2 linked regions of the Sus scrofa genome follow. The protein of the gene in region 2 purifies or fractionates together with the protein of the main gene of each other region. This does not show direct contact. Links are inferred from orthologs where the notes say so. Each region holds a gene or a part of one and is shown on either strand. Other genes may lie near its edges.

Evidence for each region. The genes of interacting proteins can lie anywhere in the genome.
Region 1: the proteins of HSPBP1 (region 2) and EDRF1 purify together in Homo sapiens (affinity purification with mass spectrometry; 3 studies listed by BioGRID and IntAct, counting the BioPlex papers as one, with this or other methods). This does not show direct contact. The link is inferred for Sus scrofa from reciprocal best matches to the Homo sapiens genes HSPBP1 and EDRF1.

What each region holds. Positions count from the first base shown.
Region 1 is NC_010456.5:135,069,200-135,073,213, reverse strand, and holds part of EDRF1 (erythroid differentiation-related factor 1), read right to left. Parts: intron 2,041-4,014; coding exon 1,882-2,040; intron 1,701-1,881; coding exon 1,551-1,700; intron 1-1,550. UniProt on the Homo sapiens protein: Transcription factor involved in erythroid differentiation. Involved in transcriptional activation of the globin gene.
Region 2 is NC_010448.4:59,457,677-59,461,690, forward strand, and holds part of HSPBP1 (hsp70-binding protein 1), read right to left. Parts: intron 3,572-4,014; coding exon 3,367-3,571; intron 1,788-3,366; coding exon 1,563-1,787; intron 1-1,562. UniProt on the Homo sapiens protein: Inhibits HSPA1A chaperone activity by changing the conformation of the ATP-binding domain of HSPA1A and interfering with ATP binding. Interferes with ubiquitination mediated by STUB1 and inhibits chaperone-assisted degradation of immature CFTR.

The sequences.
Region 1 (4,014 bases), on a different chromosome or scaffold from region 2:
GTCTAGGGCCAGCTCAAAGTGGCTGTCTCCAGATTAAGCTGGGCAGTGTGCTGAGGATGAGCACAACCCACAAGAAAACCCACACCCACGAGACTGCAGGTTGAGCTAAGAAGGAGAAAACAACAGAACAAGAAAAATCATCCCTGAGAAAACTATAAGCACAAGACTCTTGGCAGAAGCAAGGCACCCTCTCTGAAGGAAAGCACCCTCAACTCAGGCCTTGAATTATTCTTGGAAATAGGATGTGCGTCTGAGCACCAGGATTCACACACGAGACTGTTCATCTTATTATTTCTTTTTGTTTGTTTTTGTTTTTTGTCTTTTTGCTATTTCTTTGGGCCGATCCTCGAGGCATATGGAGGTTCCCAGGCTAGGGGTTGAATCGGAGCTGTAGCCACCGGCCTACACCAGAGCCACAGCAACGCGGGATCCGAGCCGCGTCTGCAACCTACACCACAGTTCACGGCAACGCCGGATTGTTAACCCACTAAGCAAGGGCAGGGACCGAACCCGCAACCTCATGGTTCCTAGTCGGATTCGTTAACCACTGCGCCACGACGGGAACTCCCCATCTTATTATTTCTAATGGCCTCAAACTACAACAATCCCAGAGTTCAGGAATTACAGAACAAATAAACAAACTGTGATATGCTCACTCAATGACTACTGCTGAGCTGAGATAACAAACAGCTCCATGCATCGCTGTGGAAGAATCCTCAAAACACGGTGTTAAGTAAAAGGCAATCAGCCATAGAAGAATACGTGCAGCAGGACTCGCTCTATAAAGCTCACAACCAGGTAAAATGCAAACATGCTGTTTACAACACAGGAAAGCTACCAACGTAACAGCCCAGAACTGCAGTTAATCTGGCCGAGACTCCACAGCGAGGGCACCCGGGGCTCCCTAAAGCACCCTTCACCTCAAGGTGAGGTATACAGGACGCCTTTGTTACTCTTTTAACTGTACATATGCTTCTCATACATTTTCTAGGTGCTTTGATATACATGCTCTATTTCACAAATAGAAATTTTTAAAAACGGGAGATGGATACTTTAAAATTACCATAGAACCACTGGTACAGAACTACAAAACCTAACTATATTTTTTAAAAATCCAGGCAAATATATAATTTTTCAAATTAAGACCCAATCATAGTAGGAAAAACACATGGCACGGGTGAGAGGGAAAAAATACCTACACTCCAAGTTTCTCTCAAGCAGCTGAAAGAATAGATGGCACTTCAAAGCTATACAGTTATATGTAAGCAAAGCACCAGAACATTTTTTTTTTTTCTTTTCCTTTTTGTCCTTTTAGGGCCTCACCCACAGCATACGAAGTTCCCAGGCTAGGGGTTGAACTGGCGCTGAGGCTGCCGGTCTACACCACAGCTCACAGCAACGCTGGATCCTTACCCACTGATCAAGGCCCAGGACTGAACCCGCGTCCTCATGGCTATTAGTCAGAGTCGTTACCGCGGAGCCACAATGGGAGTTCCCACCAGAACATCTTTTAAGGGCCTTGGCACTGAACCTGAACTGAATGGCAATACCTGATTCCTCAGACAACTGTGGTACATGGAGGCGAGCCTGTGATGGATGGTGGCAGCGCGGTACTGACAGAGAGGCTGTCGAGCAGACACCGAGTCCACGTCGCAGTATTTCAGGGACTTCATCATAGCCTCGCTGACTTCTTTTTCAATCTGTTTCATTTTTTAAGGGGGAGGAAAACAATGACAAGCCCATCATCTCACGTAAGACTTTTCAAAACATTCAAATACTGCTTGTCCAGGAAAAGACTCTAACAGATGCTCAGTTATCTGCTGCAGAACTAAGTAATAAGTAAGGTTAAGACTTCTTTCATAATCCAGCAATTATTCTTACCTGCTCTTGAGCTTTTCTAGATAACGGAGCATAATCTTGCTGTAGCGTTGCCATGGTAAAATAAGTAGTGGACAATTCCCAATTCACCGAATCCCAAACAGCTGGGTGTATGTCCCGTGTGCCCAAGGACCTAAGAGCTTTCAAATAGTAGTCGACAGCCTGCGAGGGAGAGAAGAGGACCGTTACGGCTCAGTTTCAATACAGGCTCACATGGCATGAAAGTTAAACACGCCTCACAACCACTCAGACATGAATTTTTGAGAGATATTATAAAAGGGAATCTACGGAGTTCCTATCATGGCTCGGTGGTTAACCACTCTGACTAGCATCCATGAGGACACAGGTTCAATCGCTGGCCTTGCTCGGTGGGTTAAGTATCCAGCACTGCCGTGAGCTGTGGTGCAGGCTGCAGATGGGGCTCAGATCCTATGTTGCTGTGGCTGTGGTGGAGGCTGGCAGCGGCCGCTCCGATGTGACCCCTAGCCTGGGAACCTCCATGTTCTTCGGGTGCAGCGCTAAAAAGCACAAAATAAATAAAAGGGGATTCTCTGAGAAAATACAGGAAGTGAAGAGAGTTAGTAAAGTGGACTCCACCCCACCCCCCATCTTCACCTTGAGTCTGTCATAAGCTCAACTGAGCGTTTTAGGATTTGTGTGAAGCATGAGGATGCACTTTCTTCCTTTGAGTGTTTTCTTTCTCCTGAAGATTATAGTTTATATAACTAGCAACAAATAATTTCACAAGTCTATGGATAAAAAACCTGCAGGGTTTGACTGTATAAAGAAGCAACCCTTCCCACCTCTGCCACCACCCTACTGAAACACATGGTCATTATATTTAAGCAAACAACCCCCCCCCTTTTTTTGGTCTTTTTAGGGCTGCACCCGCAGAATATGGAGGTTCCCAGGCTAGGCATCTAATCAGAGCTGTAGCTGCCAGTCTATACCACAGCTCATGGCAACGCCAGATCCTTAACCCACTGAAGGAGGCCAGGAATCAAACCTGCAACCTCATGGTTCCTAGTCAGATTCATTTCTGCTGTGCCACAACGGGAACTCCAAAAGTCGCTTTTTTTTAAAGTTCACCATGCAATGAACATTGCTCATTAACGTTAAGCAGTGGGCAGCGGCTCAGCCTCACAATCTGAGGTCCTGAGTTATTTCAACAACGTCAAAGTCCTCAATGGCATGAGTGCTCTTGTGTTCTTGAACCCTCTCCAACAACTGCACGCTACCGTTTGCCAAAACAGATTTACAGTTTGCTAAAGGAAACTCAATTTTAAAATTTCCTAAAACTTTGTATTTTGAAATTTTGCTTTCCTATTAACCCTTTCCTTATTTTACATGTATGACATTTTCTTCAAGGTTATCTGTCCTTTTCTCTACTGACATAGTTTATTTTCAATGATTCTTGATTATTCTTGATAGATTAAGGGTTTATTAACCTCTGATCTGTCATGTGTGCTATCCATATTTTTGCTAGATGGTGAACTGTTTTTCAATTGTGCTTTCTGATGTGCATTTAAAAAATATTATTTTTGTGCATTTAAATTTATCCATCTTGGAGTTCCTGTCGTGGCTTAGCAGAAATGAATCTGACTAGCACCCATGAGGATGCAGGTTCAATCCATGGCCTCCCTCAGTGGGTTACAGATCTGGCACCGTGAGCTGTGGTGTAGGCTGCAGATGCAGCCCAGATCTGGCATTACCGCGGCTGTGGCGTAGGCCGGCGGCTACAGCTGCAATTCAACCCCTAGCCTGGGAACCTCCATGTGCCTTGGGAGCAGCCCTAAAAAGACAAAAAAAAAAAAAAATCCATCATTTACTATGTGATTTTTGCTTACTGTGTTATGTAGAAAAAGTCCTTTCCTATCCTAGCAGATAAACGCCGACTGCATTTTCTTCTGAACTTTTATAGATTCACTCGTTTGTGTCACTGTCCATGTCACTTGTCCACGTCAGTCTTTACTGCACTGGACGTTTCCTCCGGCTATGCCGACGCGGTTTACTGAACAGTCATCTTTTCCCACCAATTCAGCCTGTCACCTTCAGGACCACCTTCTTAGTACTCTTAGGCCACTTTCTAAGTGTTTTAATGTTCTGTCTAGTCCTTTGCCATCACCGCAGGTTTTT
Region 2 (4,014 bases):
TGGCCATTTAAAAAAAAAAAAAAAAAAAAAAGGAAGCAGTGTTACAATATTTTTCCATGAAGCACCGCTGTGTCCCCTCACTACAGCTGCCTTCTAGGCCAGCCACTGACTATTCAGCCTGAGTGGAGATGTACTTTACACGCGGGATGTACACCAGGTGTCAGAAGACGTAACATGAGGAGTTCCCACTGTGGCTCAGCAGTTACAAGCCCGACCAGTATCCATGAGGACGCCAGTTCAATCCCTGGCCTCGCTTGGTGGGTTAAGGATCCAGCGTTAACATGAGCTGTGGTGTAGGTCAGAGACGCGGCTCAGATCCCCCATTGCTGGTGGCTGTGGTGTAGGCCGGCAGCTGCAGCTCCAATTTGACCCCTACCCTGGGCACCTCCATATGCTGCAGGTGTGGCCCTCAAAAAAAAAAAGGACAAAGCGTGGGGAAAAAGAAATGCAAGGTATCTCGTTAGCACTCCACATAATGAGGGGCTGAAATGACAATAATTTAAATATAAGGGGTTAAATAAAATGTCATCCAATTAACAAAAAAAAAAAAGAAAAAAAAAGTACCAGCCTATGAGGAGGGGTAGACATGACTAAGCCTCTCCATCGCTGGCTCCGCCGTCATGATGTGTCCAGGAGCAACCCTTCCCTTCACACAGGGCCTCGCCACCTGGCAAAGCTGACAGGTGGCGCCACATCATTCTGTGTCACAGGGGCCGCCCTGGGCACCAGAGGCTGCCACAGCCATCACCACGCCAGATCCCTAACCCACTGAGCGAGGCCAGGGATCAAACCCACATCCTCACGGACACCATGTCAGGTTCTTAGCCCCCTGAGCCCCAAGGGGAACTCCAACATCAACTTTCAAAAAGATAAAAGGCCTCAGCCACAAGGAAGAAAAAATGAAATTGTGTCATTTGCAACAACATGGATGGACCTGGGAGTTGTTACACTAAATGAAATAAATCAGACAGAAAAAGACAGATACTGAGGTTAATGACTTAGCTCTGAAATCTAAAAAAATAAGACAAACTACTGAATACAACAAAAATGAAATAGACTCACAGACGCAGAGAACAAACTAGAGGTTACCAGCAAGGAGAGGGGAGAGGAAGGGGCAAGAGAGGGGTTGGTACCAAAAAAAAAAAAAAGATAAAAGGCACTGTAGTTCTCGGAGCTCCTGCCTGGCACCCTGGCTGGCACGCTCTGGGAGAAGCCCGCTAACACGTTGTGAGGACACTCAAGCAGCCCCCTGGAGAGCCCCCTCCACAATGACGGGGGTGATCAGGTCCCAGATGGCAACAGGACTTTGGCTGAGAGCCCTGAGGGGGCCCAAAAGCACTCGAGCGGGCCCTTGTCCTGTGTCGCCAGGATCTGGCTCTCTGACCAGTGCAGCGGGTGGCAAGTGCACAGCTCTGTTCCCAGCACCAAGCAGAGACCCGACAGGTGCTGGGAATAAACAACAAATGAGGCCCCCCTCCCTCTGCCCTGAAGCAGATCGGAGGGCTGGCGCCTGCCCTGTGGACCCAGGCCCCACCCTGCCAGCCCGGCCCCAGGACACTCACAGGAGATGGCGAAGAGGGCCTTGACGCGCACCGAGTCGCAGGGGTCCCGATCCAGCAGGCGCAGCAGCTTGCGCAGGGCACCGAGGCCCAGCACCTGCTCCTGGATGGCCGCCACGTTCTGGCTGCATGTGCCGATGAGTTGTGCCGCCCGCCACCGCAGCCCCGCGGGGCCCGCCTCCAGGTAGCGGCCTACCAGCAGGTGCATGCCAGATAGCTGGCAGAAGTCTGTGTGGGAGAGAGGGGAGCAGACAGGTGTGACGGGCTGAGCTGTGCCCACCCCCAACTTTCCACTGAAGTCCTAACCCCCAGGGTCCTAGGAAGTACTGTATTTGGGGACAGGCCATTAAGGAGGCGATTAAGGCGAAATGATGTCACAGGATGGGGCGCCGGTCCAATATGACTGGTGTCCTCATAAGAAGAGATCAGGACACAGACACCCACGGAGGAGGAACCACAAGAGGATACAGTGAGAAGAGCGCCGTCTACGAGCCCGGAAGGGCCTCAGAAGACACCAATGCTCAGGCTTCCAGCCTCGGAACTATGAGAAAGTAGACTTCTGCTGTTTCAGCCCCAATCCGCGGTGCTTTCTTAGGGCAAAGGGGAGCCTGCCTCCGAGGGCTGGCTCTCTCCAAGGACAGTGTGTCTCGACGATGTCAGCATTTGGAGGGTCAGGGCTCCCAGGCTCCGGCCCCCTCAATGCCAGCCCGGACACCCCGTCTCTGTGACCACCAGGACATGCCCTGTGGGAGAAGCACACGCCAAACCAGTGATCTGCAAACTACAGCCCACCGGCTGTTTTCCTATTGGCGAGCTTGGCGCTTCCTCAGAAAGTCATCAGCGAAGACACCTAGTTATCTCCCAAAGCGGTGAAAGCAGGAACTCCACTGGGCACCTGCACGCCAGTGTTCACAGCCGCATCATGTGCAATAACCCAGGGGTAGCTGCCCCAAATACCCATCAGCTGATGAATGGATCCATGACACGCAGCCTTAACCACAGAAAGGAATAAAGTTCTGATACCAGTCACAACGTGGAAGAACCTTGAAAACATCACCCTCAGGGAAGGAAGGCAGCTGCAAAAGGTCATGCCTTCTACGACCCCTCATCCGTCAATGTCCAGGACAGATAAACCCAGATCCTCGACAACCACACCGACGCCCCTCCAAGTGGAAGTGACGACTCGTCCATCAGTCAGCTTCTCGGCACCGAGAGTAAGAGCCACAGCACCACCTTGGCCCATGAGGCCAGGTGTGCCTGGTGTCACTTCCTGGCCTCCACTCTGCTGTGCTGGCCTCACTGCTGTTCCCGAACATGTCGGGTGCGTTCCCACCGCAGGGCCTTGGCACAGGCCGTGCCCTCTTCCTGGAATGCCTTTTCCAGAGCTAATTCCATGACTTGAGCCCTCGCTTTAGGTCTCTAACCAAGTGTCACCCTCGGGGAGGGCCTCTCTGGCTCCCCCATCAAGGAACACTTCCTGTGGCTTACTCTGAAGTGGCCATGGACTCCCAGCAGAGGAGGGCGACGTGGCCAGTTTCAGAGAGCATCGGTGAGGTGGTGGACTGAACCTGCAGCCATCAATGCTCCTGACGGCAAGTGAACCGAGCAGGGAGGGACAGGGAGTCCCACCGGGGGCCTGAATCGGAGCCAGACGGCAAGGGTGAGGCTGGAGGCTGGGAGGCTGGGGAGGAGGCTGAGCCAGAGGTCCCTGAGCCAAAGGACAAGGGCTGGGCTGCAGAGGGAAGCCAGGAGGCAGAAGAGGCAGGACCCTGGCAGCCAGAGGCAGGCCGAGGTGGGCTGGCTGTACCTGCAGCGTTGTCCATGTTCTCACACAGGTCGGCCAGCAGCTCCAGGGCCCCCTCACGCTCCTGCTGGTCAGCAGCCAGTTCAGCTTCACCAGCTGAGGAGGGTGTGGGCTGGGACAGCACCCGGAGGCAGTTCTTCATCTGCTCCACCTCCTCTCGCTGGCCCCGGAAGGCGGCCGACATGGCCTCCTGCAGCCACTGGCGCCTCTGGGGAGTGAGGTGGAAGAAAGAGGCAAACTTTACCAATAATTAATTCATGAATAACAGTCATCACCAACAACAGCCACTGTAAATCAACCATACTGCAATAAAATTTTTTTTTTTTTTTGTCTTTTTGCCATTTCTTGGGCCACTCCCCCAGCATATGGAGGTTCCCAGGCTAGGGGTTGAATCGGAGCTGCAGCTGCCAGCCTACACCAGAGCCACAGCAATGAGACATCCAAGCTGAGATCCAAGCCGAGTCTGCGACCTACGCCACAGCTCACGGCAACGCCGGATCCTTAACCCACAGAGCAAGGCCAGGGATTGAACCCCCAACCTCATGGTTCCTAGTGGGATTTGTTAACCACTGCGCCACGATGGGAACTCCCGACCTGGATCTCTGAAGCTGCACGCTGCTGACACTTTAAGCGGGACAGTTCCGGGGGCGG